2 linked regions of the Caenorhabditis elegans genome follow. The protein of the gene in region 2 interacts with the protein of the main gene of each other region in a pairwise test. Each region holds a gene or a part of one and is shown on either strand. Other genes may lie near its edges.

Region 1 (15,736 bases), on a different chromosome or scaffold from region 2:
GATCGAGAAGATTGAATGATGAAAGATGAAGCTGTGATTTGACATGTCCGGCTTGAGTTGTGGATACTGAGTTTGGAATCAATGATATCTTGTTTCCAGCAGATACGTTGTCTCCAATAGCATAATGCTTGTATGCTGGTTCGATTATAAACCAACTTCCTTCATTTCCAGCACGATCCAGATAAACCTAAAGACATAGATAATGCAATTTTTTAAAATAACAATCAATGCGATAGTGTAGAAGTTTTATTGATAAAACTGAAATGCTGACAAAATTTGGCCAGAAATTCTGTATTAGGCTTTCTGGCTTGTTCTGAACCCATAGAGAAAATGTGGGTAACTTAGAAAGATGCTACATTCCATTAAATTCTAGAAGTGTTTCCCAAATTCACAGACATGTTATTTAATTTTAAAAAGTTATTTATGCATTCCATTCAATTATCACCGCATTCGTTTTTTATGCTCAAATCCTTTTGAAAACTTCACTCATTTTCAACTCACACGATGATAATGTGAAGAAGGTATCTGTTCATTTAAGTTTTTGATCACTAACAAAATAAAAAATAATTTATTGAATTAAAAAACTAACTTTCATCGCATTTCGTTCTCTTTTTGCTGGTGAGTTCTTTTGCACTGTGATATATTTATTTGATTTGACATGAAGCAACTGAACCATTGAACCATATTGTATAACGTTTCCGAGAGTTTTTTGAAATTCAGACTCGTTTTCTTCCCGCTCCTGAAAATATGTTGTTTAAGAAATTATTGGTTCTTCTAGAGCTGTTATGAGAACCAAAAAACTTTAGTTAAGTATTGTTGCACTTAAAAGAATTTTTTTTTGGATTTAAACTTTCAGTTTTCAATTCCAATTACTAATTCCAGATTTCAATAAAGATACCTTATCCGCAGCAACTTTCAGCTTATTCATCAGATCATCGTCAAACATTGAATCTCCAGTTTGAAATCGCTTTTGCTCGGTCCATAAATGCTTTTGAGCTGCATATCGATTAACAGGACACACTTTAAAAAGGCAATCTCGAAACTTTTTTGGCGGGCTTTCAGGCCGCCCATCTTTAAGTTCAACAATACATCGATCGTCTACCAATCTGTAAATATTCCAGTAATTTTCAGATATTTATTTTAAAAGCTAAAAACCAACCCAAGTGTGCTCAAGAATCCTCTCTGTTCTTGATTTGAAGATGATTCTGTATAAAGAGAAATAATATCTCCAATATGTAAATTTCCATTGTTTCCGTGATCAATACTGTTGGCAATGGTTAACTTCCGACTAGGAAGAGCCATGCTGAAAAATATAAAATTATTTAGAAAAAAGAAAAGGAGAAGAAGAAGCAATGGATGACTGTGCTTTTAGCACTTTTCTATTGTCACAAAATTCTTTTTTTTGTTTCTCTTTCAGTTTTTCGTTGTTTCCATCTTCTCGAAACACAGTATTTCCCATTTTATCGATGTTCTCGGTTTTGTTTTATTTTCTTTTTTTTTTTTTTATTTTTGTTTTATTTTTCATTTTCTTCAATTTTCTCACCCAATGTTACGTTCCAGAACACGTCTCCTATAGTCATAGTCCATTATGTGTAGAAGTTTGAAAGGTGCATAGAAGTAGAAGTAGTAGAAGAACTGAGAAGTAATGTGGAACTATAAAACAAGGTAACAAATATATGAAATTCAGAAAGGTATCGTCGAGATAAAATCTGTAAGGGAAAACAAGAGGAAATTGAGAACGAGAGAAATGGAAATGACAATTTGAAAAACGGGTTTCACAATAATATTCGTGATGATGACTAACGAACATTGACAATTTCAGAATAAAAATTTACATACAATGTATTACATAGAGAATATTACATAGAATACAAATATCACTAAAAATTTTGAACGTTAAATGTGGTTCTGACCAGTCATATCAATAAGTGCTTAGAAGAATAGTAAAAAAATCCTGAAATATTTTTTAAATGTTAGAAAATTTAAAGCAAAATGCAGAAAGACCTTGATCGTCTAATTTAATCAAATTTTTTAAAAATCTGGCAATTGTACACAATACAGGCCGCCTCGGTTTTATTTTTGCATTATTCAGTCAAATATTCTGAGTTTTTGGAAAATTGGAGGGTCTTCAAATACTGAACAGCTCAAACTCAGAAATTCGTAAATTTGTAAAATAAAAATTTCTGACTGTTATTTTTCATTTTTTATAAAAGCATACAATTATATTTTGAACAAAAATAGGTAGTTTTGGTTGGCGGCACCATGATTTACATCTCAACAAAGCTTTCAAAACAAAAAGCTTTTATGTCACCGAACGACTTTTTTCTTTAATATTAAAAGATGTTGCAAAAAGTGTGAAATGAAAAATTCAGAAAATGAAATTAATAATCAAATAATGGCAACATATTGAAAAAGCAGCAGAAGGAAAAACGAAGAGGAGGAGGAGGCACATATTGCAAAAAATGAAAAACCGATTGATTGTTATCAGAGAGAAAAAGAGGGAAAAGGGTGCTGGTGATAATAAAAATTGCAGCAGACGCCATCCGAAACAACAGTTCAAATTTGATGGATTTTTAACTGAATACAAAATATTTCTACTTGTACTTGTGTATAAAATATCGAATTTACAGCAATTGAGAAAATAGAAAAAATCGATGTTTCCAAAGCTGCGAGTAAACATATGCATACCATAAAAAGATCCTGACTTTCCTCCAAAATTCAAGTATAAAATGCTTTCATAGTTTTAGTGAACTGTGTGTGATCTTTACAAATGTGAATTATGCAAGGTTAAGTCTAGTGACGTGCAGTGAAATAGTCATGCAGTAAATATTTCGAGCGATAGAGAGATAAAGAGTTTTTAATTACGTTATGCTATTTGGGAATGAATTTTGATAACACTTTTTTTAAACAGAATTTGCTCAAAAAACAAAATAAATTTGTTTAAATATAAAAAAGCTTTCAAGCAAAGCCTTCATTGGTATCTGTAAAAAAACGACTGACAAAAAAATCCACGGGATTTATAACGGTCCTGCCTTTCTATAAGAGTTAAGAATTTTTTTAGATTTTTTGTACAATTTTTGCCAACTTATTTTTTCTTAAGTTTCATCTAGTTTCAAAAAAATGCTTTCTGTCTCAAGTTTTATTCAAGTTTTCAACAGCAGTACAAAAGTTTTATAAGACGTTGGTAAAACTTTAGTACGAAGTTAGCGGGAAATGCCAAGACAAAAATATTTGTGAACCAACACGAATCATTATGAATTATCAATATGGCTAGAAAAATTATACAGTTCCGAGAACGTCTCACTCAATTTTTGGGTAAAAACATTACTGTTTTTGTAGCCAAATTCTCTAGATTAAAAAAAGTATTTTACCGAACAGTTATTATTTCAAAAAGTTCTACACCGACCAATCTAAAAACGGTTCGTCTTTTGAAAATTCTGTCAGAAATGTTTCGAATAACTGTTCATCGGTCAAAATTAAACCCCTGTGATATGAATTAAATTTCCGTGAAAGAGCCAAATGAATGACGCAAATGAAATGGAAACCACGTATTGAAAACACAAAGAATGGAACACATAAGTGATTCTTCTCACAATTATGGCTTCTCAAATATATGTTATCACAAACAAAAACATGTGTGTCCCGCCTAAAATCAAAATCATTGAACAATCATTGACAAACACTCAGAGAAAGTCCAGGGGAAAGTGATAAGGTTATTGAATCTACATCTGTATGCAAACAACTCTTTTTCTCTAGTTATTCATACTCTACAACAGTTTTCTGTACACTGCACCAGAGGAAGAAATAGTATAGAATGAGGAAGAGATTCAGACAGACAATCAAACTATTCTCTTTTTCTTTTTTCTTACTTACAAATCCTCTGATTTTTACTGTATGTTTCTGACGATCCGCGAAAATTTTAACCGTTCTATGAAAAAACCTAAATTCAAAAATTACTTTCTAGTAAGTTGCCAAAAAATGTGCTTCAGTTCTCAAACAAAACTATGAAAGTTAAGACACGAAGAAGGAAACTATAAAATGTTAATGGGTTGGTGTTTTGAGTTAAAATGGGCAAAAATGAAGAGGAGTGAGGTTGTCAAAAGCTAATCAGTGACCACAGAAAATAGGCGAAAAAAAGAAGGGTGATATCATGACGTTTTGCTTGTCCGCCTACTACTCGGCGGATATGCCCACAATCATTTCACTGTTTCGTGACGGAAAAAAAAATGGAGGAGAAGGAAAAAGAAATGATACCGAAACAATCAAAATATGAACGAACTTCATGAACAGTTCAACAAATATATTAGCAATATTCGATCATCTCCGTCACGCTTCAGAGGTCGCCAAATATTGTTCTCGGTCAACTCGAAAACTCGGAAGTAACAAGGTACTCAGTAATGGACTTAAATTTATATTCAATCTAATTTTGTCCATAACTCTGGATTAATAAGTGACAAACGGAACTAACCACAATAGTCTGTTTAAAACAGGAGAATCATCAATGATAGTTTGCAAATTAATATTATCAGTCTAAAAAATCAAACTAATAGTATTAAACGGATTATTTAGTTTTGCCATTGTCTGGAAAAAAGGAGTATGGGAACACAAATTGCGATAAGTACTTCATCAGAAAATTTACGTAAAATTTAAAATTTAAAATAAATTTTAAAATTTATAGGGATTTTTTTATTTAGAGGTGGTTATCAAATTGTGCGACTGCACCAAAAAATAATTTTGAACGCCATAAAATTTTCCGAGATTTCTCGTTGTGATTTTCAGTATTTTGAGAAAATCTTGAGTCTATTCAAGCAACAACTCAAAACTGTTACTTCCCCTTCAAAAGAGATACACCTTGGAATCTGGATATGCCAGGATTTACTATAAATCGGTTATAAGAATACGTATCATTAACTTTAGATTTAAATCAAATTCATCAGGTTCACATGCATTTTTATTATTCAAAATTGATACATATTACTTCAACATTTAATTGGAAGTTAGTATTGCTTGCAATAGTTCACTGATTTATTCGAATCTCCAAGTTAATTCAAAAATAGAAGCACATATGATTTGAGAAAAAAAATAACTCGAGAATAGTTTACCAAAATTTTTTCCAATCAAAAATACCTCAAATAAATGATCATTACACCCTTTTTATATCGGCGACCTTGTACTTTTTTCCAAAGTGATACCGATACCAGGAGACCATCTCGATATACAAAGTACTTGAGAATGAGCAGCGTTTCTTCTTTTTCAAACAAATTTGAAAAGGCTCTTTTTTCTTGTTGATACAGGAATATTCTCGCCATTCACGTTGTTTTTTCAATTGTTTTTTTTTTGATAACAGTAAAACAGGATTTGTAACAAAACAGCCAAATGACACTCAATTTATTCTTCGAATAATACGATTTTTCAAGAATACAAACTAACCTGGATTTCCTCATAATTTGTTCCTCAAAATCATCAAAATCAAATTCAATTCGTGTGCTTCCACCACCACTAGCACCTCCACTGGCCGTCGTTTCGTTTTCGTCTGAAAATTGTGCAAAACTAAACATTTTCTCATTTTCTTGTCATTTTTTAGACAATTTCTTCACATCGGATGATCGACGGCACGGTACGCTCAAAGCAAAAGGACTATAAAAGTTTAACGATCTGTGTCACTTCTACACCACACTCTTTTACACAAATCACATTTGACACGGTTTTTAATTTTTTTAAGGAAGTTGTTTTTAATTTTGAAATAAGGAGTGATAGGTTAGTTAGCGTGTAAATTTTCAGAAACATGCAAGGATTTGAACTCAAAAAAGCTATTTAAAAAAACAAAAAAAACCATGAAGTGACAACTAAACATCTAAAACATTTTGGTTTTATGAGCGAGAAGCTGAAGACGATTATGCAACGAATCACAGCTGTGAAGCACGTTGTTTTATGAGCAAAATGTTGGAAAAAAGGAAAGCAAAAAACTGAATAGAAACGGCAATATAAAAACATATACACGGAACGGGAATATGTTTTATTTAAAAGTTGGTTGGCAACTTGCTCATGCTTTTTAATACTCAGTTAAATGAAAAGTATCGCCAGTGAGGAAGTTGTTTCAAATCAGCCCAATAATATTGAAATTACCGGATATCTTATAGTTAGCAGAGCTTTGTAAAAAATTATCAAAGTTTTTTACTTACAGTGAAACAGTGACAATTACTTAATTTTTTCACCTATTTTGGAAGTCGGCAATTGTTAACAATTTTTATAAAATTTTGAATTTCATGAAAATTGAAATTATTTTTATTCAAATATTCTAGAGGTTCACATCTGTAGCAATGCTCGAAATTACTCAAAAAGTCCAAACTTTCTGAAAAATCTACAATTTACAAAATTTCACCAAATCAAAAATTGTGGAGTGTTTTATTATGATTGTCGATTTCGGTATTTTCCTAAATTTTTCACAACCTGTTAAGGCGTTTATACCAAATAATTTTCAAGTTAATTATCATTTCCTTCATGCATTGTCTCTGGATCATTCCTCTTTTGAATTAAAATGGCAAATAATGATCATCTAGCTTTTGATAATGAACATATTAATCGTACTAGATCTTTCATCAAATAATTCAGTCACAAACCAGAACGATCAAACTCTCTAGCCTTTTTAATCGAATTTGGAATTTACAGTTCAGAGATTGAAGTTGTGTAAAGAGAAATAGAGAGAAAAAGAAATTGATCAGGTCGACAATTTGATGAACGATTCGATGACGTCTAATGTTAGAAATCAACGATACAAACTATTCGACAAAAAGATGAAGACGACAATAAATATAATGATATTCGTGTTCGAACATCAATCATTTTCGATTAGTTACGATGCCAACGAGACAACAAAAAAACATCTGTAAGTTCATTTTGTAAAATAATACGAACAGATGTGTGGAAAGAGGAAAGAGAAACAGAAATTTATGCATATCGTTTACCAGGAAAATATTAGAGAAAGAGACACAACAATCGGTATATATTTTGTTTGTTGAAACATTCATGAAATAGATGTATATGCCTCACATACATCAATAGACAACCAAGACGGTACGTAAGCCGCTTACAGGTGCCCCTTTTCTTTTGAAAGACAAGAAAAAATAGAGACCTCCGGGAACAAAAATGTGTTTTAAAGTGTTTTGCTGGTTGATGTCCCATATGATTGTATTTGTCTATTGTTTTATCGATATGCTCTAACGGTGAGTCAATAAATGCACTTTTTCTAGAAGAATTGAAAAAAAGTGTTTTTTTTTTAAATATTTTTAATTCAAAACTCTTTCATCATAGTCAAAATCAAAACCGGTTCTCAAAAGTTTGGCTTTATATTCAAATCTACTTTATGGACCAACTTTTAACACGAACAATAACAAAACATATCCTGTGAAATGGCGCCCGGTAATTTTAACTTCCATTTTACACATTTTGGTGGTTTTATTAAGTGTTTCTTGTTGGTTTTTTTTCTGGGGCGTTGGCCAAATAAGTTAGGCTCAATTTGAGACTATTTAGACGTTGGTTTTGAATTTTGAGAACAATAAATATAGTTCGCTACTCAACCTTTAAGGTTAAAAAGAAACATTGAAACTGAGAAAGTTCTGAGTTTCCTGTACATTTTTCAGTGATTTCATCAATGCTAACCGTATCAATTAGATTTAAGTTTATCGGTGAAAATTTGAAAAAAAATAAGATCGTTAATTGAAGCAGATTTTAGAAGTTTTTTTTTAATGTAAAAACTTACATTCATAATGCTCGGGAACGAACTCTGGAATAGATATAATGGATACTTTCTTACGAACCCGGCCATATGATGGATTCATTCTGGAATACTTTTTATGAAAAATGGAAAATAAGAAGCACAAAATCAATAAAAGTTTAAAAAAGAAATTGTAAAGCAAAATCGTATTAAAAATATAGTGACTCTCCAAAAAAGAACGGAGGAAACGTGTCACAAAAGGAGAAAAAGAGGAAACGTTTCTGAATTGAAAAGATTTGATGTTAACGTCTTGGACGGTCTCATGGTTCAGAGAGTTTTCAACAACAAATTTCTATTGGAAATTCTTTCATTTCATCTCCATTTTTCTTGTTTACTTTTTTGCAGGTAAACCCGCGCAAATAGTTGAAGTTGACACAATGTCAAAATGAGCGCGAATACCAATTAAGAAAGGTCAGATCGTTGGCATCGGTAGACAGACAACAATGAAAAAAATAGATTCCAGATGCGTTTGATTTGAAGATAGGAGGAAAGGAACAAAAGATGGTGGGCAACGGGAACCAAGTCACACTTATCAAATTAAAGGAATTAATGGGAATTCAAATGTATTAGCTGCAGTAGTCAATAACATCGAGATTTACAAGAAAATTATCTTTGAACAAATACGATACACAACGCTGAAACGGTGTGATACATAGCATGCAGCAATTGCCGTTCGGTAATCGACTTTTCGACGATTTCGGCAATCGCTGAAATTGTCGATTACAGGAAATCAGAATTGCCGAAAATATAAATGTGATATTTTTTGTAGATTTAGGAGCCCAAACATGAATTTTAATGAACAATGTTCTCTCTTTTCAAGCTCAAAATGATTTAATACTTGAAGGGTTGCCCGTTTTCTTTTAGAGAATGACTAACCTAATACAATAATTTTTGAGACATTTTCAAGTTGTCTCAATAGGTATTTAGGATCAATTTTGATTCTAAAAACAATCACCCAAATTTTGCTACTCCATCTTTAAGTGGAAAAATGAAGTAATATCGTTCCTGTTTTTCCATTTTAGTTTCGAAAATGATACAAGTTCAATTTCAAAAGTTGAAATATTCAGTTACTTTTTATAAATCTCATGTCTCTTTCATATCCCGCTAGTAATTCAATTCATATGAGCAGTCGACTACCATTTTGGAAGATAAACAATACAAATACGGGTTGCGAGAGACGAAGAGATCTCCAAGTGACACTTATACCGAAATGAGCGAAAGAGTTAGCGAATACATTTGTTTTGCGTACTATTAGCAGAGCTTTGAAACAGGGCGCAGCCTAAATTTGGGAGAGAAAGAAGATTTGTACGATTACGGAATAGAATATCCTACAGTAGAAAGTTAAAAAACATTACAAAATGAAATGTGCTTCATTAGGACAAAACAATATATTTTATTGTAAAACTAGTGGAAAAGAAAAAAAAAAAAGAAATGAAGAAGTAGTATTGGACTCCAAAAATATGATGTTTGATACTTTTCTGAAATGTGATAGTTTTGGAAATTAATGCGCGGATTTTTCTGAGCATTTTCTGAATCCATCGACTTTTTTAAAACTACATACCACATCTCATCTATTAATTTTAAATTTAATTTTTGCGGAAATTCCCACAGAGTATAGCCGGTCTGTCGGAAAATCAGTGCATGACAAACTAGAAGCTACAAAACTAATAAGGGAAATACGGGTTGTTTCAAACTAAATGCTTATGTTCGAATTGCAATATTTCATTCTGACTACCTTATTAATTTTCCCTTATTTTCCTGTTTTCAGAGCTCATATACATAAAGTTCACTTAAAAACCAGAACTAAAAAATCACGTACCGTTTTTGAAATTGACACACAATGTAATTTCACAGTTGGACGGAGCAGAAATCAAGGTTAGAAACATTTTCACAGTCTGTACTAGTTTTGCATTATATTTTCCTGTAATATTTTGATTTTCAAAAATCCAAAACCAAGATCCCTTTCGTACATCCCGTGATTGATTAAACAACAATGAGATTTCGAAAAGTCAGCATTTCTGCTCGAAAATCGTGTATCAAATCACCTTTGACCCTGTAGCTCATCATATCTAAACATTTTACAATCTTTTGATTCTTCATTCACATAAATCCAGTGGACCTCTTCCGTATTACATCAACTTCCTCGTAATATTTACAAATCTGTCGGAAGACAGTTTCGCACCTCACACCGCAAAAGTGGGCGGCGTGTCCGTGGCGGTGGTGGCCGGGGGTTGCAATGTGTCCACTCAACAGAAGTAACCTGTCTCTTTTCCCTCAATCCACCTGTCATCTTTTACTATCCTAAATTGACCATCACATCTTTTATTCTTATCACTTCCGGATGTCAAATGAGCAATTATGTGGTTACTGTATCTTTTAATTCTGAAACCATTTTTGTCGTCTTCTATAGACCTTTTACCGGCAAGTGTACCAAATGTATGTCCTTTCCGTCCAACCAGTTGTAATTTATTATGCCCTTTTGGATATTTGAAAGATATTCTTCAACAATGTATCTGCACATGTGCAATGGATCCTTGCCAGGTTAGGCTTTTTGAAAGATCTCTGATATTTTTTTGAATTCTTCTAACACTCTATAATATATTTAACGAGAAATAATTGTTCTTAATAATATTTTACTTTCTATATTAATGTTTTAGACGACAATTTGTGGACCATCAGAAAGTTGCATTGCAATTGGCGTGAAAGCACGCTGCATTCCAAAGTTCGGTAAGTGTACATCCAATTATGGTGCGTGACCAGTCTCTTTTGGGAAGAGAAGTGACAATTATCTGGCTACTACACGGCTAAGCTAGTATTCGGACACGTTTTTGTGAATACTCTGTTCCTTTTTTGCCAAAGATTTTTCTCGATTTTCTATAAAAGACAATTGAAAAACGAAAAAAAAACGAACAACGGTTACATCACATAATAACCTTCTATATTAGAATTTCTCAAAAAATAAAAAATCAACTCATGTCCTTAACAAGAAAAACTAAAAAATGCATTTAATTTCTTCAAAATTACAAAAAAGAAATGTACATATGTATTAAAGTTAATTTCAAGATAATTCCAAGAATCAAGATAAATTTTTTGAAAATTCAAAATTGAAAATGAATTTTTGATAACATAATTTTTGTATTTTTTGTTTTCAAGTATGAAAGCTCATTACATATTTTTTGATTCAGGATCAAATCGAGAAGAATGCCCACGATTAACTGGTGGTATATGTGCACTTCGATGTGAAAAAGACTCTGATTGTAGTGGTCGGTTGATCTGTTGCTCGAACGGATGTGGACGAGAATGTGTTGCTCCAATTGCTAAAAGTTTTCAAATCGACAGAGAAGTTCCAATTCAACCAGTTTCTTCATCATCTAATAACATCCCTGGTTCCTTTCAACGTCTCATTAAAGCTGTATCAAATATTGGATCAACTCATTTCAATATAACTCCAATTCCACCAACGATACGAAATCTTGCGAACTCTCTATTTCCAACTCCTTCACCAATTCGTCCACTTCCTACAACAAAAGTCGGTCAATGTCCTTCTCCAACATCAAATAAATCAATATGCATTGATCAAAAACAATGTGCAAATGATTTGGATTGTGGTAGTGTTGATAAATGTTGTCAAAATGCATGTGGATCAACTTGTATGGAACCTCTCAAAGCAACTGGATGTATTCATATGGTTCTAGCAATTTCGAAATTAAAAGATAAAAGACTTCCAAATGAATTTGTTCCATTTTGCGAACGAAACGGACGATTCTCATCAATTCAATGTGATATTCAGTTTTGTTGGTGTGTCGATGTACATTATGGCTCAGAGATAGCTGGTACAAGAATAAGTCGAGAACAACGAAGGATTGATATGTGTAGAGGTATTTGATGTCTTGGAACATATATTTTTGGAGAAAATCAATTACACTATTGATTTTTAGAACCCCGTTTATGTACGAAAAAGTGCCACAATCAATGTACTCATGGACACGTTATGGACATTTTCGGATGTCCTATTGCATCATGTTCTTGTGTGGATATTTGTAGAAATGTTAATTGTGAAAATACTTGGGAGCAGTGTCAGCTGGTTGAGCCCGATTGTGCAAATCCTCCATGTCTCCCTGTTCCGCGATGTTTGATTCAAAAACGTTACTTCAAAGATATATAAAGTTTGTTTCAGGTCTGTTGAACCCATGTAGGCACGGACCACCTTCTCGTCTTGGAAATGGAATTACAGCATTGTGTTCTATTGATAAAGATTGTCCCGAAGGAACTTGTTCAAAGGTACTAGATACTTTGAAAGAAGTGTGCATATTTATAGAACTTTCAGATTGGCTACAATGGACTTGGATTTTGTTGTTCGGGTCCAGCGTCATCTACACGAGACGGAAGATGTCCTTCCCAAGCCGCTGACAAATTAAAGTGTCTCATCTACCCTGATAATTCATGTCACTCGGATCACGAATGCTCTGAAGATGAGAAATGCTGTTTCAATGGCTGCACTTTATCTTGCACACAGCCTGAAGATTATGTTCTGAAAAAACCATTGAAACCAATTGAGCCAGTGATGCATTACCAACCGGGCGATGTTGAGAAGTATAACAAGGGACATTTGAGCTCTTTGGTAGCAGATTGTATTGATATCATTGCATCAAATGTTAGCTGTGCAACTGAATGTCATTCTGATTCTCAATGTGCTGGAATGAAGAGATGTTGTAGACAAGGATGTTCAACTTCGTGTATGTATCCAGTTCGGAGCACCCGTGAGTTTGATATTCGTTGGGTTTGGTATCAACTACATCATTTTCAGCTTGCTTTCATCTTGCATTGACAGCTGAATTGTATTCATTAAGAAATGCAATGAAGTGTGACAGGGCAGGAAATTTTGAACAATACCAATGTGACGATGAAGGATGTTTTTGTGTGGACATAGCAACTGGAGAAGAGCTGCCCGGATCGCGAGCCATTGGAAGAAAACCGAACTGTGAAAGTGAGTCGAGCACTACTTTCCAGATGCGTCTACAATATTAGCATAGATATTTTCTCTGACCTTTTTTAATTATTCCGCTTTCAGGTAGAAACCCATGTGAACCACTGGTTTGTAAAGTAGCATGCCCATTTGGTTTTGAAAGAGGATCAAACTCCTGTCCAACCTGTAAATGCAAAAATCCATGCAAAGAAGTAAAATGTCCACAAGGAAGTGTATGCGTTATGAGCTCAATTCAATGTTATCAGAAGGGAAACTGTGTTCCACAACCTAGATGTGTTCTGAACTTTTGTCCAGCCGGAGAGCCATATATTTCCAGTATTGGAAATGCTGAAAGTTGTACAAAAGATGAAGAATGCCCAACTTCAACTCACTGGTGTCATAAACTTGGATTGGCATCTGGAGGAATGTGTTGCCTATCTCCACCTCTTGTCCGTCATGCAGGTTCTTGTCCAATTGTTCCTATAAGTTTGGACGCAAAAATGTGCAGGGTTTCTTGTAAAGTTGATGATGATTGTAGTGGACATCAAAAGTGTTGCTTTGATGGATGTGGGGCAGGATGCAGAGATATTGCAACTCCTCTAATTGAAATATCCAAAGAAATATTTGAGAAAGCTGGAACTTGTATTTCTGAACAACGTGTTCTTTGTAACAGACTAGAGTGCGTTTCCAATTTATCACAAAGATATATTTTTAATTGAATATTTCAGAAAAAATACCTGTGAATATGATACTGATTGTGCTGGAGTTGCCAAATGTTGTGACGATGGATGTGTGAAAGCGTGTGCTTATCCTCTACAAACAAGCAAATGTCTTGTTCGAAAAACAAATCTACAAAAGATGGGACAAATGGATTTGATCAAATGCAGGCCAGGTTAGTTGCTTTTAAAGCTGGATTAATTATTAAGTCAGTTTTTAGATGGATCGTTTGAGCAAATACAATGTGACACTGAATTTTGTTGGTGCGTGGATGAAGAAGGAAATTATGTAGAAGGGACCAGAACTGGAGAAGATATTACACCAAACTGTCCAGGTAATAGTCACCATGAAAAATGATTTTCAATCGTTAAACATTTCAGAACCATGTGAAAAACTTGAATGTGGTACAATTGGATGCGAGTATGGACATAAAAAAGATAAAAGAGGATGTGCAACGTGTGATTGTGTAGATCCATGTGAAGGTGTCACCTGTGGAATAGATTCTCTGTGTGTTCCAACTACAGTTCCATGTGTTACGAAGCCATGTCCAACGGTGTGTATTATTTAATAACTACCATACTAATGTACTTATCTCCAACTGTTCAGATCCCTCGATGTATCATAAATCCTTGTCCAATTTCTGAAGCAGTCAAAAATGAGACATCACTTCATTTGAAGAAGTGTTACAGAAGTAATGATTGCTTTGATGCAATTATGACTACGCATTGTTCTATGGTTACACAGGAATTTGGATTTTGTTGTACAGCTGAATGTAAGTCTATTTCAAACTTTATTCAAAAAATATCAGTTTTACAGCACCTGAAACACACGTGGGCACGTGTCCAAAAATAACAGACCTAAACACTGCAAAAGTTGAAAAATGTATTCAAGAATGCAAAACCGACTCCGACTGTGGACAAACTTCAAAATGTTGTTGGAATGGATGTGGGCTGACATGTGTAACTTCATCTATATCTCGCATTGTACCTACTCCTTCAATACAACAAACAATGCCCGGAACTCATTTTGGAGAGTGCCTGAATGTTGCTCCACTTGGAGCATTTTGTCTTCAACGACCTACAATTGCAGACTGTAAAAATGATGATGATTGTCCTTCATTGTATAAATGTTGTTCTGATGGTTGTGTCATGAGATGTACTCAACCTCATAGAGCTCCTCTTTGTATTCATCAAAGAATTGCTGCATTGACAATTGCAAAAAGTGAAGGGTAAGAAATTGGGAAAAAAACATTGAAATAAATTCATTTTCAGGGTCGAGTCAAATGAAAAAGATTCGGGAGTTTTCATTCCCGATTGTGATTTGAATGGAAACTTTGACGAAGTGCAATCTCATTTTGGTCTTATGTGGTGTGTAGGTAGATCAGGTCAAGAGATCGCTGGTACCAAATCAACACGAGTTCCAAATTGTGATGATCCTCGACCTTGTCCAACAAGATTTTGCGCCGAACAATGTCCGTACGGATTCAACAGTGATAATGAAGGATGTCCAATTTGTGACTGCAGATCTCCATGCGAATTTTTGAACTGTCCCGCTGGAAATGTCTGCCGAATGATTCCAGTTAAATGTACTACACCGGAATGTCGACCAGTTGCAAAGTGTAAGTTCTAGAAACTGTTAGAAGGAATATTTATATTTCAATATCTATTAGGTATTCCAAATATGTGTGGAACTGGAGAACCGCTTGCTCTTGAAAATCATCTCCTTGCCACGTGTTCACCAATTTCATCTTGCCCTGCTGGATACCATTGCAAAAACAGTGGATACGGTGATATATCATTTTGTTGTTCAACTCCCGAAGTTGCTCAACAATCACTCAGATGTCCTGTTATTCCGATAATGCTTGCTTCTGTTGATGGATCATCTTGTGTTGTAGGATGTAGACATCATTATGATTGTACTCATTCGTCATGTTGTTATAATGGTTGCGGTACTAGTTGCCAATTTGAGACAAGTGAGTGAATCCTAGTTGATTTTGTTTTTTTTTCCAAATATCTTCTTTTCAGGACAACTAGCAATTAAGCCAATCAAAACATTGAAACCATTCAAGCCATCAAAACCTTCGAAAACGACCAGACGGCCCATTCTCAGCTCATTAAAAATCGAGAAGAAAGCTTCAAAAATTGAAAACGTTATTGTGGAGCATCATGCAGTTTTACCAGTTTCTCCAGCTCCTGGAAAACTTGGAACATGCCCAAAGCTCCTCATAAATCCTGGATGTACAGAACAATGTAGTCAAGATTCGGATTGCCATGGATTTT
Region 2 (15,659 bases):
ACAATATAAGTCAAATAATGGTCATTAGATCGAACAAAAGTTTAAGGATCGTAATCAAATATGATTTCAATTGGAAATTCCAATTTGAACTAAATAGGTACTATTGAATAAACTCTTTGAAATGTTGAAAAACAGGAATGATTACATCGGATCAATAAGTTTCAAATAATTATGTTAAACATTCCATTCGCTGATAATTCGCTAATATTCGTTGAGGTTTTAGTTATTAATAAAGTATACATACCGCCTCTTCGATTTGTCTCTTTTGGACGCGAATCTTCTGTTGGAGCTTCTCGACGTTCTCTTGAAGTCTATCGAACGCCTTCTTGTCTTCCTCGACTTGGAATTGAAGCTCACGAGCGCGTCTCTCCTGCTTGGTGTAACCCTTGATGGACTCTTGGTGTCTGCGTTGCTCAGAGTGCAACTCGGCTTCCAGGCTACGAACACGATCCTCGACCTTGGCCAATGCTTTGGCACCGACTGAAATATACAATTTTTCGACTTTAGAATACTTTGTTTGGTAACATACATTGGATCATGGCACGTTCAGCATCATCGATCTTAGCCTGAAGTTCCTTGGCGTTGAGCTCGAGGGATTTGCGTTGTCTGTCGACATGGACTGCATGCTCTTGTTCTTGACGGACCTCTTCAGCAAGACGATCCGCATCAGCAGCTGCCTTGCGGGCACGCTCCTCTGAAGCCTTAAGCTCGTTCAAGTACTCGTCCAATTCGTTCTGAAAGTTTTATTTTTTAAAATCTGACAATCCGTTTAATAAACTCACTCTGGCAATCTGAACCTCGTTCTCAACCTTTCTCTTCATGGCAGAAAGAGCAGCATTGTTTCCAATAAGCTCAGTGTTGGAAGACTTGAGTTCAGCCTGTTCGATTTCGAGTTGTTTCTTATGCTTATCAGATGCCTCGATGCGGTGAGCAAGATCCTCGCTTTCAGAAAGAGCAATAGCAAGTCTCTTCTCAGCAGCCAAATAGTTCTCACGGATCTCCTCACGTCTGCGTTGCTCATCATCGACTTGTCCTTGAAGTTCCTTGACTTGGTCGAAAAGTTTCTTCAAGTTCTTCTGGGCGTCAACGTTAGCCTTGTTGGCATGATCCAAAGCAATCTCGAGTTGATTGATGTCAGTCTCAAGCTTCTTCTTGGCTCTGGCGAGCTCGGCCTTGCTCTTAGCTTCGGTTTCGAGGGAAGCTTGGATGGACTCGAGGGCACGTTGATGGTTCTTGCGAGTGTTCTCGAATTCCTCCTCCTTCTCTTGAATTCTCTTCTCGATTTCTGAACGGATCTGTTGAACCTCGATTTGAAGACGGAGAACCTTGCTCTCTTCGGCTTCAAGTGCAGCCTCGGCCTCATCAAGAGCATGTTGAAGCTCGTCCTTTTCTTGTTCGAGACGGCGGACAGACTTGTGAACCTCTTGGTATGTACGTCCTCCTTGGGTGATTTGCTCGTTAATGTCGCGAATCTCTTGCGAAAAGATCTTGTTCTCGCGTCTCAAGGTCTCGATTTGCTCGCTGAGGTTGTCCATGGATGAACGAAGTTTGAAGACTTCAGTCGAGGTATTACGGCTGTCACGAGTAGTGGCATCAATCTCTTTTTGGATATCATCAACCTTTCTCTTCCAGTCATCAACGATCTTGTCGAAAGCACGTTGTTTCTTTTCAAGGGAAGCAATGACAGTCAAGTGACGATCAACATCTGAACGAGCATCTTCGGTTTCGGCAAGAAGTTTTCCCTTGGCCTTCTCGAGAGAGATGACCTTGTTCTGAGCAGCAGAAAGAGCCTCTTGAAGATCCATAACTCTGTTCATCTGCTTTCTCTTGAGCTCTTCCAACTCCTCAGATCCAACCAATCCTTCTCCTTCGTATCTGGCCTTCCATTGAGAAATCTCGGAATTGATACGGGAAAGTTGACGTTGAATGTCGTCTTTTCCGTTGATTTGCTCCTCGAGCAACTCGTGGCATTGATCGAGTTCGTGCTCCAAGTTCTTGCAGGCAGCATGGAACTCTTGACGCTCGTGAAGCTCGTCTTCAGCGGCCTTCTTAGCCTCTACAAGTTGAGAAGAGAATGCAGTCTTGGCACGGTTGATGGTAGCCAAATGAATCTCGAGCTCTTCAACTTGACGAGCAAGATCGGAGTTGTCGTTGGAAAGTCTTCCCTTGGTGGAAGTGTACTCTCCGATTTGTCTCGATTGCTCGTCAACCTTTTGTTGAAGCTCGGCAACTTGGATTTCGTATTGCTTGGCAAGACGTTCCTGTTCAACACGAGACTTGGTCTCTTGATCAACCTGAGCATTGATGTCATCGAGTTCCTTTTGGAGGACTCCCTTCTCCTTCTCGATCTTAGCCTTAGACTTCTGAAGAGCATCCAAGGTGTTGGTCAAGGCAGAAATTTGGTCATTGTTCTTTCTGCGTATCATAGCCATCTGATCTTCGTTGGCCATGTTCTTCTCGTCAAGATCTCTGCGGAACTTGATGATTTCAGAATCCTTCTTCTTGTTGTTGTCTTGTTGGATTTCGAGTTGCTTGTTCTGTTCGTCAAGTCTCTCGTTGAGCTCATCAAGCTCGCGTTGAAGCTCAGCACGAGCACGGTCAGCCTTGGAGCGAGATTGTCTCTCGTGCTCAAGCTCATCTTCGATTTCAATAATGCGTTGAGCATTTTCCTTGGATTGGCGGGTAAGTCTGTTGGCAAGTGCTTGCTCATCCTCAATTCTGACTCCAAGAGCATGGATATCAGCCTCCTTCTTCTTGAGGGAAGCATCAGTTTCAAGCTTGATGGCGGAGAGCTCATCGATAGTTTCTTGAGCTCCCTTGAGTTCACCCTCAACCTTTCTCTTAGATTTCTCAGTTTCAGCTCTGATTCTCTTCTCTCTTTCAACAGCTTCTTCCATTTCGTCCAAAGTTTGCTCGAGCTTTCCACGAAGTCGGTTGGCTTGAGCTTGCTTGGCTTCTTCAGCTTGAAGATCGTCGACAAGTTGACGGTTGTTCTCTTCAAGAAGCTTCTTCTCCTTGTTGATTTTTCCAATAGTCTCATCTTGAGAGTTCATCTCATCTTGAAGGGAATGGATCTGGTTTTCCTTGGCGGCCTTCTCCTCAAGAGATTTAGCCAAGTTTCCATCTACGGCTTCGATCGACTTCTTCAAGTTTTCAACTTCTTGTTGAGCCTTTCTGCGTTGCTTCTCAAGATCAGCGTTCTTCTCTTCATGCTCCGAAAGACGGTCGTTGGCGTCATTCAGAGACTTCTCAACTTCTTGACGAGCACTGTTGAGGCGGGTAAGCTTCTCTTCGATGGCAGCAGATCCTCCTTGGGTAAGCTCGAGAGCTTCCAAAAGTTTTGATCTCTCAGCGGACAGCTTGGCGTAAGCCTCTTCTTGAGATTTTCTGGCAGATTCGGCCTTCTTGGCTTCAGCTTCAAGAACCTTTTGCTCTTCAGCCATCTTGATCATTTCTTCAGCCATCTTTCCGCATTTAAGTTGTGGACGGAGCTTTCCGAACAGCAAGAACCAATCCCAAGTACGGAGGACGCACCAGGAACGGATGTTGCGTTGAAGGATGATGTATGAGTTGAGTTGCTTGCGTCTTGCTCCGGCATCAGCAGTGGCAGTGTACCAACGGATGGCAGATTGGAATCCAGTGATAATCTGGTTAAGCTTGTCATCTCTCAGATCTTCAATGTGGGCAACAACTCCAGCCTTGAAGAAGACTTTAGTGTGTCCAATTCTGAATTGTTCATCATTCAATTGTTTTTGATTGATAAGTGCTTGAAGGATAGCTCCGGCACAAGTCTTCATGTCATCCGATGACTTGGCTTCCTTGGCGGCAAGGATAGCGTAACGTTGGACGAAATCTGGATGTTGAGTTCTGTTGGGGAATCCCTTTCTGCAAATTCTAATTCCTTCCAACACTCCGTTACATGTAAGCTGGTTGAGCACAAGGGCGGCATCAATCATTCCAGATTGTTTCTTCTCGTTAGGAATGATACAACGGATGAAATGTGGATGAGTCTTGTGAAGCATAGTCATGAGCTTGTTGAGAGATTCTCTGTACATCATGGATACAGTCATGAAAGATCCAGACTTTCCTCCCTTGCGACCACCTCCGGCCTTAGCGGCGGCAGCAGCTTCTTCTTGGGTGGTGTAATCTTGCCAGATTTCGACAAGAAGGTCGTTCTTCTTCGAAGCCTTCATGACGGAGACAACGGTGTCGTTGAGAGGATCCTTGTTCTTCTCGAGCCAGTTCAACACGTTGTAACGGACAGTTCCGGCGTAATGCCGCATGGCGAAGTGAGCCTCTCCTTGCTTTCCCTTTGGTGGTTTTGGCTTTTCGAAGTTTGGATGCTTTCCAAGATGTTGATCGGTAAGCTTCTGGGCAAGAGTCATGTCAGTAGCCTTTGGAACAATACACTCCTCATCAAGCATAGAGATGATACCGAGTGGCTTCTCAATAAGCTCGATACAAGCTTGGAGATCAAGTCCGAAATCAATGAATGTCCATTGGATTCCTTCACGGGCGTACTCTTCCTGCTCAAGAACGAACATGTGATGGTTGAAGAATTGTTGGAGTTTTTCGTTGACGAAGTTAATCCAGAGCTGTTCGAAGGAATTGAAGTCGAAGATTTCGAATCCAGCAATATCGAGTACTCCGATGAAATAATCACGATCAATTCCCTTTTGATCAAGAGTAAGATTACATTTCTTGACAAGCCAGTGGAAGACACGAGCGTATAACCCCTTAGCCATGGCTCCAATAGCCCAGTGAACTTGATCAACGTTCTGTCCCTTGGATACCCATTCGGTTCCGACCTTGACTCTTGGAGACACCAAAGCCTTAAGGAATTGATCGACATCAATTCCGTACATGTTACAAGCTCTCTCAGCTTCATCTTGGCCATCTGGCTCGGCTTGCTCCTCACGTGGGCGTTGCTTGAATTTCATGTTACCCATGTGCATGTGAGCCGACATGAGTCTATAACAATCCATCTTCTCGGTGGGCGAGAATTTGAGAACATCAAAGGCCTCGTCGGTCAATTGGAACTCCTCAGTGTCATCGATTCCTGGAATAAAACAAGTTAATCTCATTCTCCAGAAATACAAAACATACCATCAATGAGCAACTCAGCTTGAGCAACAAACCAATAGTTGGAAATTGGATGGTTGAGAAGAAGCTCGTCACGGAGTTGTGGCTTAAAATCTGAGTAGATTTGGTAGAAGATATGGTAACAACGCTCTCCTGGAGCTTGACGGATGACACGAGATTTCTCGAGAAGATCTGAACAATTTACGATTTTCGTAATAACTTCTTATCATTATTATCAACTTACAGTGTTCAATATCGCAGGAAGCAAGAGTTCCGTGCTTGTTGAAGTGAATACGGATGAACTTTCCGAAACGGGAAGAATTGTTGTTACGGACAGTCTTGGCGTTACCTAAACAACCAAATTATCAGACAAGTGTTAATTTTTTAATTTATGTCTGTACCGAAAGCTTCCAATACTGGATTGGTTTGAACGATCTGGTCTTCAAGGGTAACTTCCTTCTCTCCCTCCTTCAAAGCAGCCTTTTGTGAAGCTCCGACGGTGGCAAAGTAGCAAATAACCTTCTTTGTGTTTTCAGTCTTTCCGGCTCCAGATTCTCCGGTAATAAGCATAGACTGATTCTCATGGTCTTGAAGCATGTAACGGTAGGCTTGATCAGAGACAGCGAACAAATGAGGTGGCATCTCGGTACGACGCTTGCCCATGAACATACGAGCAACAGAGTCAGTGTAAATTGGGAGACGTTTGTATGGGTTGATGACAACGCAGAAAAGTCCAGAGTAGGTCTGAAAATGGGCAAATTGGAACATTTTGTTTCAGTCAATATCCCATTTTTATAGAACTTACTTCTTTAAATTTCAGTAGTATTCAAATTTAGTTATTTTTTGGAACGATATTTTTATATTCTCAATACTGCCTTTGTTGAATCACATATTTTTAGTACCATTCCAATTTCAGTCCAAAATTCCAATATAAATTTTCTCTTTACTCACTGTGCACATTGAGCATGACTCTCTTTGTTTCTCATCGTCTGTCTCGATCCACTTAAGATAGCATTTTGCCACTTTTGCGTGGGCGCACTATTTGCCTATCCAACTACGCATTTTCGCAGATCTTTTTTCCGTGTTTCTATTTGAAGTTTTTTGAAACTGAAAAAACTTACATAGATAAGCATAGCAGCGTAACGGGAACGCAAATTCCACAGAACGGAGGCGTCATTAAGGAAAGTCAAGTTGGACATGTCTTCGGTTTTCTCGAACTTTGGTGGATTGACTTCTTGAACGATATCCTTCTTCAAAGTTACATCTTTGCCTCCGGCGGTAACGATAACAGTATCGGCCTTTGGTCCTGGACCCTTAATAACTCCCTCAATGTATCCTTCTTCGGCATCTGGAATCCAGACGTTCTTCTTCGAATCGTATGGGCGGGATTGATCCTGTAAAATAAAAAAAATATAAAAATTAATTTATATTCATACATAGTTATAAAATAATTATTATCCTAAATATCAAAACGGTGAAGTTTAGAAGCTTTAAAAATAACGATCTACCGAAAAACCGGTAAGAATTTTAAGAGATTGAACCTTGAAAATATGTTTAAAAAAGTAGCCAAGAAACAATTTTTAATATTTTGCTGTAAAAATGCTCACTTAACCACTTTAAAATAACTCTATTGTAATTGAAAAAGTTTCATTTTAAAGTTTATCAGAACATATTCAACAAGTAAAATAAAGATTGAATCTTGTTCTAGTTGGAAAATTAAATTGAATTGTTTCTATACTCAAAATAGATGAAATATTATTTGTCGAGAGAAGGACAAATTGGGAAAATACGGTATTTTATTAGGTTCAAAACTGAAGGAACAATTCGTTATTAGAAGTGTATAAAAAGCAGCGACTTCAGATAAATTTCGAATATTTTGGAATTTGAGAAGATTAGGATTTATGAGGAGAAAAAATACGTCGAATGTAAACCTAGGAAAAAGTAGAAAGTAAAATGAAAGAAGTAAAATCTTACCGCGAGCTGTTGCTCTCTCGACCTTTTCAGGTACTGCCATCCTGGGTCCTTCTCGTGTTCGAGCGACATTCTTGATTTGTTTCAGTGGAAATTAAAACGAACGGCTAATTGAAAAATGAGGCTAAACAGGTGGGTGACTTCTTCTTTTTCTTCCTACTGCTGCACTGCACACAGCTCCACACTACTGTGCTCTGCAGGGACGGATAATAGTTTGGCACACACAAGAGAGAGCTTCACTCGGCACACTTCATAGGGCGGAGCAACTCAAACTCCCCCTCATCTTCCTCTCTTGCTTAGCGCCCGTGCGCAAGAAAGGGGGCTCTCCGATATCCACACAATGAACTGTTGCCGAGAGCATCAAACGTCTCTTGGATGTGCATTGTCCATACGTTTTGAGCTTTTGCGTCGCCAGTCCAAGTACTTTATCTTTCAGGTTCATCGAAAGAGTATGTTAAATTGAGAAACGAAGAGATTACTGTAGAACTTGTTGAAAAAATCAGAGGAGGGGGTTCTTTCGGAATGAGCCCGCGCTTTTTTGAGCACACATTATTATTGGATAGAGACATACGTAAGAGATTTTTGAGAGTAAGCGCTTGGAACTTGTGGGAGTAGATAAAAAAATGTAGAAAAAAAATTAAGGGATTCATTCTTAGTTTACTTATATTTGTATAAAAAATTGGAATCAGTGATTTCAGTAACCTGGACCAGCAAACTGGTCTTATTTTATTATTAGAAACAACACTATTAGAACATTAATGAATACTGTGTAAGAAATCCGAATAATAATAATAGATCTAAATCGGATTTGGACACAATTATTTAGAAAAATTTTAAAAAAAGCGACGTTTTGAGTTTAAAAAAATATTTTTGCTTCCATCGTGTTCTTTGAAGTACATTCAAAGTTGGATGCTTTGTCGTTGAAAACATTTGTCTACATTAAAATTCAGAAATCCATCAAAAAATTTAACATGAGAAAATGTTATATAGAAACTGTGCTGCCAAATAATATTCAATATAGTGTACCTTAATACCTCAAGCAATTTTATAAGTATTTATTTTTTTTGTCAAACCATGATATTCAACCTTAACGTTTTCATTTAAAAATCACTATTTTGTATTCGCATAGTTCATTCGCGATGTGCGCATACTCATTTCGATTGAGGACCGGTACGATATGTGTTTCACGAAAACGAGCATCCGCAATGCACTCACTGCGAGGCGCGTTTGGCACATTGTGGCCGACTTCGTTGGGGATGTGTGCCACAATATCACTGCTGCGAAGATCTCTCTGGACATATTATGTGCTGATCAGATATTAGTCTCCCAGCTAGGAATTAACTTTTCAGATTATTAGTTATAGATTGTTTGAGAAACCTGTTTTTTTAACTGTTGCAAATAACGTTTTTTTTGTAGCTTAACCTAACTTTCATATCCATTCTCTCCAAAAATGTGTTGTAATAATGATGAGAGACCAAGTGGCATTGGTGAAGGAAGTTTCACCGAATCTCTCGACTTTTTTGTGCCATGTCTTTGCTCCCCCATCCCACACTCGGATACTTCTGCGCATCCTCCGCTCGCCTTTTCTTCGAATTTTTCTCGTTTTTCTAATAGTAATATTTGCCCAATTTCTCCCCCATCTATATCTCTCACACAGTATTTGTATGTGTGTGCGTAAATGTGTGTGTGTCTGTTTCTTTTTGAGATTTTCGCTCCTCTTATTCATCTTTGTTCTCGGGGCCACCCCCTGAAATTCAAAGTGAACACGGGAACACCGATCAAGTATGTACATCGACCAAGAATTGAAATCATTTTCTCCTAGTTAACAGTCTGGAAACACGAAAAGTTGAATTAGTTTGTTTCTCAGCAAATTGAAATAAAAAATTAAAGTTTCTAAAAACTTTTAAGAAGACTCTCGAAATTTCTAAGATTTCTGTGACATGTACCATTCTTTTTCCTTGTAAGTATTGCTGATCTACTAGAAAATGTTGTTTCAGAATTTTTTCTTAAAAAATTCAAAGGATAAGTTAATTAAAAAATTACAATAAATATATATGCAAAAAGGATTCTGATGGCAAAAATATTCCCAACATTTTCGATATTTTTTAAAGAATAATGAAATTAGTTAGTTTAAGACCTTTTTGAGTCTATTCCCACTTTAACCTTTACCAGAGAATGCCACTGTTTAATGACTGCGCTCAATATGCTGTCAATTTACTATTTTCTACTACATACAGTTATCAACCTATTAATAAAATGACTTTATGTTCTCAAGTTTGTTTCCAAATACTGAAACGAAAAATTAAGCTCGTAGTCAGCTGGGGAAAAATGTTTCATTTATTTCCATAGAAATAATACAATCAGAACAATGAGTTTCTTTCGTTAAAAAATTACGTATTAAAGCCACTTGTTTTGACCAGGTGAATTGACAAAGTAACACATTATTGATATCCGTTTCTTTTTTTGTTTCGAAAAATCTAAAATTGCAGAATATCTACACATCTTGTTGCAGTAAAAGTCGACCATCACTGTGTACCCGATGAGCTTTCTTCCGTAAATCAAGTGATGTAATTGCTTCTTTTGACTCAATATTGCTGTCCTAAACATATGAAATATCACTTAGAAGCAATTTCAGTTAACTTACAGAGGCCGGTTTAGAAAATGGAATCTTTGGATGATGGTGGTGACCGTGTATTCCTCGAACTGATGGTTTCCTCAAATGATGTTGAATAGTGCCGAGGGCAAGAATTGCCTGAAATAAATTGAAAATTAAAATTATATATTTTTATCTAAAGGAGCGTATGGTAGACTTAAAAATGCTCCTATGGCCAAAAAAAAAAGTAAACGACGAAAAATAAAATAGGAAGGACGCTAAAAAGTAAGTTCGGGATATATAGCCGCGGATAAAGAACTTTCCAAGCAAATTTCCGAAACATTTAATGAGTTTCTATTTTTAAAGTAATTAAATTAAAGTTTGAAGTAAAGTAGATATCACCATGAGGGAACATTTTGATTCAAAGGAAATGGTGCAACTGGAAATTCAGTCGGGAATTTCTGTCTCCTCAAATAAATATTCCAATTTGGACGGAATTTTTTTTAAAGAAAACTCTGTTTTTCTGAATTTCCCGTAATATTTCCGTTATCACCTACCAACTCAGTATCCTTCGGAATACTTCTCTGATTAGTACTTGTGAAGGAATGAATCGTTGCCTGACAATCATCTCCATCGGAAGATCCTGATAAGAAAACTGTCTTCTTTCTTGGAGCAGGAGGAGATAAAGCTTCCGAATTATTAACTGATCTCCAATCTTCTTCATCGTCATCTTCCTCTGCTTGTTTGCATGCAACTTCCAATATCTTATCAAGATCATGTAATACTTCCCTCAGTTTTTCCGGCGTTGATCCAAACTTTTCAGCCACCAAAGTGACCAAATCCTTGACAGTCATCATTTGCCCTCCAAACCAAATTTCAGCTTCTTCTGAATCTGAAACCTTTCTTCCATAGTAATGAATCCACATGATTCCTTTTTGAAGACTTGCAAAAAATAGAAGCATTGTAGCAACTCCAGTGCAAAGGTATACAGTTACAATTATATATTGAAAAAGTCCTTCTGGAGTTGGGGAGTAATCTCCATATCCAATAGTTGTAATCGAAATGAAACTAAAATAGAATGCATCTAGAAAGTCAAGTTGATCGATCCACAGTGAGAATATGAGAGCTCCAATAAAACAATGAGCGGCTAGAAGAATTGCAGAGGTATACCATCGAAATCCGGAGTTCTCCACGTTCTGAAAATTACTGTTAAACATCTGAAATTCAAATATAAAGATTACCTGTGAGCTATAACTTCTGTGTACAATATTACAAATATCTACAACAAGTACACTATTCGTTGCAACAGTCATGAAGAACAATGGTATTCCAGCCACACAATATAATATACAAATTACTTTTCCTCGATCGTCAAATGGAGCAATGTTTCCATATCCTGTCAGTTTTCAAATAGTTATTTTATTTGAGATCTAAAGTATCATATTTACCAATTGTTGAAATTGTTGTAATGCAGAAAAGAGCTCTATCCAAGAAGGATGCTTCATTATTTGTCGAAGAATGTCGCAGATCGAAGACTTGACATCCGAATAGAACATAAAGAATTAACGCAACGTTCAGAATGAGAACATATGTCGAGGCAAACATTAACTGAAAATTTGAACTTTATTTTTCAAAAATATTACCAGCACGTTAAAAAAATTGATTTCTGATTTTCATGTTTTAGAAAATTGTTCATAATTAAAATCTTCCGCCTGAGCATCATTTGCCTACAGTGGTTTTGTTTTTAAAATAATTTTCTGGTTAATGTCCCAGTGCTCACCTCCCGCTTAACCATTTTCTTGGGGCAACATTTATCCTGTTGAAACTGATCCCTCCAAACATGATATGGACGATCCAGCCAGGATGGTAATTGTTTCTAAAAAATATATATTAAAAATAAAACTGATAAATCATTGGAAGGTTCAAATTGTTTCGTTGAAAATATATTGGAAGATGGTGATATCTTAAGATAAAGATGCTAGCGGAAATAATTGATCTCATAAAATGAGAAGATTTACTGCAAAAGTTTGAGAGATGGTCATTGATTATATTCTAGTTAAACACAAACTATAAAAATATGATCACTTGAAATTTCTCTCAACGATTTTTGAAAATAAAACTGATCTGTTTAGTTGAGTCATCGTTTCAAAAAATAATTACTGAAGTTGTTTTGTTTTGACGAAAACTTGAATTTCTAATTAGAAACCACTGAAAATAGAAAAAGGAAGTAAGTACTTCCACAATAATATTTATTCTACAGTAACCCTAAGTAAGTATTGGCAGGACAAGGAAATTTATAATTTTGTTGAAATCGTATTTCAGAGAGTTTTTAGAAAAATTTTGGTCATTGTCATATGTGAATGATGAGATGTTTGCATTTCTCACTTTCTGTGAACCGTATTTCACAAGAATTCTTTTCGAAACCTTAAGCCGGGACATTTTGCAGCTTCCATACATAAGATTAATTGTTTTTGCCTTAAAACCTTGAAATGTTTCGTGATCTGCAATTGCCAAAGTGCCGAAATTTCAAAACAATTTTCGTCTCTCGGATATATTTGTATGGAAAAATATTTAGTTCAAATAGTTTCTCCATTGTTTTTCTAGTGAATTGTCAAAATGCTCACCTTCGTTTTCTGTGAAATAATCTGATTTTCAATCAATCCAGCATGTTCTTCTTCTTTTCCAATCCGATCGTTGTCACCATCGTTGAAAGTCATGTTACCTGCAAATAAACCGTCTCTCGCAACACACTGAACATCGAAAACGAGGATCATAAACTTTTGGAGAATTGATACTAAATGTATTGAAAGGGGCCGGGTCTCTTTTCAATGAGTTTTTATTTGCCGTTTATGACAAACTTGTCTTATTTTCCAATCTTTTGACCCCTCATTTTAGTCCAAAAAACGACCAGTAATTAGAATGAGAGGCTATTTGTCAGAAATAGTATAGAATTTTGAGAGACACTGACAAATGACACATAGGTAAGTAAGTCTCTGATAATTTTGAAAAAAAAATGGAATTCGAATTGTGAAAAACTGGTTTTGAGGTGGTAAAAGGATAGAAAAGTTTATTTTTTATTGCACAAATTAACACACACATCACTTCAGCCTCTGTTGAGGAAAGTTCGAAATGATAAAATGTGAACCACGTGGATGTGTTGAAAAGGTCACATAAGAAACTGGTTTTCAAGTATTTTCCAGTAGTTTCGAAAATTGGCTGAATTGCGAAGTCGATAAAAATGAATTCTGTGAAAAATCGGGTTCCATATTTTTTGAAATCCCCATTATTTTAAACTTTCAGAGAAGAAAATGGAATGATAACAAAAATTGGGACTCAATTTCGGTGAAACTGAGCTAAATTTTTTTAATAAATTTTTATTTAAAAATTTAAATCTAATAGTAAGTATAAAATTGAAAAAAATAGGCCCAGTATTTTTAACCTCAAAATGAAAAATATTAAAAAAGAAGTTAGTTTTTCGTTTGCTTTCACAAAATGAAATACCTGCATTTGACTAAAATGTTGAAGTCTTGTATAAACTGCGGATTTTCTGTAAAAAGCAAATATTTTAAGTTAAGTTCAGTCAAAAATTGAAAAAAAAAACGGCTGCAAATTAACGAAAAATCGGACGTTGTCTGTAAACTTCACACTTCAGGCGTTATCATCTGCGCATCAGATAACTTTTTATTTTTCTCCGTATCTTTTATGTTCTCTTATTGATAGTTTTGACAAGATTCTATGAGATTGGCTATATTTAGAACCAATGGCGGTATGAGAGGGGGCGAAACAACGGAAACGATATACAAAAATAATTCAATAAGATTTATGATGAAACGGTGTTTAGTGGCTGAACGATTGGAATAAAAACAAAGTAAATATAGAATTTATGAATAGTTACTGTTTAATTGATTACTTGATAAGTTAAAATTTGAATACATTTTCCCAATCTTTAGGATAAAATGGATTTTTGGATTTTTATACTACGTTATGGGAGATTGTGGGAGAAACCATTAACACTGCATTTTCAGTATGTGTTTATATTCGATTTCAATAAAATCAAAAACATATCACATTTCAAAAAACATTCTTTTTTAACGATTGCCGAACAATTACCAAAATTTTCACAGTAGGCAATTGTTGCGTCCCAAAATAATTTTTGAAAAATATACAGAAATGCCATCACATTGCTCAAGTTGATTACTTCAGGAATTGCCGATAACTGTGGAATAATGTTAAAGATTCAATAAAAATAAAAGCTCTTGTTATAAAAAAATTTGTTTGAAGGTAAAGTGTAATGGAGTTAGTTTAAAATGGTACACATAGACTTTCTTCTTATAATTGTACGTAATAGAATGACAAAACATACAAAAATATAATGACTCATAACATTCGTGAGTATTCAGTCACCTTTTCCTCTTTACAACAATCCAACACAAAACACCAAAAATTCTATCGTTTTTTCGAGTAATTGGTGTTAGAATCAATGGGTGTCAAGTGCGTCATATTGAATTAAATTCAAAAAATAAATCGGTGTCTCAAATCAAAAAAAAGAAGAGAACTGTTTGATGACCGACGCCTTCTGCAGCTTCTCGAATTGAAGAAAAAAAAGTATCGTCAACTGATAATGAGAATTGATAGATGGTCAACCACCTGTGTCATTCGTCACAGAAAATGTAGAGGAATTGTTTGACGAAAAAAAAACGAGAAAAACTGTTTTCTAAACATCTGAAAAATGTCTGAACCGGAAGGAAAGGCGTCATGATGTGAAATGTTTATATGTTTTAAAGTGGCAATCATAATGTGAAAATTGTTTGAAAAAATGACAGAAACCTTCCGGTCACTTCATGCGAATCAATTCCAAAAATGCGCTTCGAACTATTCTTGTCGCACATCTGGCAGCCAGCTGCTGTCTAAAAAATGTATTATTATCACATGTGGGAATAGTGTCCTTGAGAAACTGTATGGACTCTTTCTTCTGGATCAAAGTTCACAAAAAGCCTCCTGTTGCACTTTTGCACTTTTACACAATAGTGTTTCTTCACAAAGCAACACTTTTTTGAACAACAGCAAAAATTACGAAATCAATGAAAAAAGTGGAAATCTCGTAGAAATTGTATAGTATTCTTTGATAGTAGTGCATATTTTAATACTGTAATCTAAATTGTTTCTAAAAAAGTGTTTTAAGAGAAGTGGAAATATCGCATCTCTTCGGAAAAAAAATAGTAGAACGGAAGACTTTTGCTATACTTGTTGTCAACTTAGAATTTCGCGTCAGTCAAACATCTGCCAAAAAAGTAAACTAGGCGCAGAAGTTGACAGAACTTCGGTAAAAAGTTTGGAAATGGTTTAAACGCGGCCGTCTTGCAAAGAACCAAGTTTATACAGTTGAATAAGCTGAGCCAAACCGATCTCAAGGTTTAGTTGGAGGAGACTAAAGACATGACACAGTCTCGTTCTAAAAATTTATAAATCAAGGCTATGTATACACACCGCAAAATACCAGACACCAAATTCACGTGAATCCGGAAACCGCGGACGCCGGACATCCGTTTCAGTCCGGTTCGTCAGGTACATCAGGACCGGCATATCGCCACATTTTTAAAATAAAAAACTTACTGATTAACGCAAGTGTTACACGAACGTCTACAGTTTTCAGGCATCCATTTATTTTTTAGACATTCTCCTCTTCTCGCCCATGCGGCACAATCATAGTGATAATCTGCACATGCTGAAAAATTTTAATATTATGACTGGAAAGTCAATTTGAGCGTTACTCACGTCCATAAACATAATTTGGTCGACACACTCCACAGCTCACTTTGCATTGGCATGTCATGTAACCAGGATTCGACTGAAAATTTCAATGTTCTGGTAGAAGTTACGTCATGAAATGTGATGTTATGGAATGGTAGAAGCAGTAAAAAGTAAGATTAATTTCTCACCCTACACTGTCCCCGTTGTGCCCAAATAGGACAACATTGATCCTCATTGTAGCACATCGGTGAATCACAAGGAG

The links.
Region 1: the proteins of myo-1 (region 2) and itr-1 interact in a two-hybrid assay, tested with the Caenorhabditis elegans proteins (one study listed by BioGRID).

What each region holds. Positions count from the first base shown.
Region 1 is NC_003282.8:7,667,276-7,683,011, reverse strand, and holds the start of itr-1 (Inositol 1,4,5-trisphosphate receptor itr-1), read right to left. Parts: upstream 7,839-15,736; coding exon 7,760-7,838; intron 6,481-7,759; exon of another isoform or gene 6,331-6,480; intron 5,534-6,330; coding exon 5,431-5,533; intron 3,840-5,430; exon of another isoform or gene 3,694-3,839; intron 1,656-3,693; exon of another isoform or gene 1,588-1,655; coding exon of another isoform or gene 1,544-1,587; intron 1,304-1,543; coding exon 1,160-1,303; intron 1,107-1,159; coding exon 899-1,106; intron 740-898; coding exon 590-739; intron 188-589; coding exon 1-187. Other genes in the region: C08G9.2 (uncharacterized protein), read left to right, coding at 10,133-10,315, 10,432-10,501, 10,960-11,652, 11,713-11,904, 11,952-12,055, 12,102-12,534, 12,582-12,761, 12,846-13,419 and 8 more. UniProt on the Caenorhabditis elegans protein: Receptor for inositol 1,4,5-trisphosphate, a second messenger that regulates intracellular calcium homeostasis.
Region 2 is NC_003279.8:7,259,811-7,275,469, forward strand, and holds the start of myo-1 (Myosin-1), read right to left. Parts: upstream 7,248-15,659; 5' UTR 7,126-7,247; coding exon 7,057-7,125; intron 6,477-7,056; coding exon 6,204-6,476; intron 5,827-6,203; coding exon 5,484-5,826; intron 5,432-5,483; coding exon 5,327-5,431; intron 5,275-5,326; coding exon 5,107-5,274; intron 5,060-5,106; coding exon 783-5,059; intron 735-782; coding exon 530-734; intron 481-529; coding exon 245-480; intron 129-244; exon of another isoform or gene 29-128; intron 1-28. Other genes in the region: twk-1 (Potassium channel domain-containing protein), read right to left, coding at 9,548-9,652, 9,698-9,805, 10,204-10,842, 10,888-11,042, 11,095-11,254, 11,427-11,522, 12,271-12,363; Putative tyrosinase-like protein tyr-3, read right to left, coding at 14,481-14,553, 15,260-15,371, 15,422-15,494, 15,586-15,659. UniProt on the Caenorhabditis elegans protein: Muscle contraction.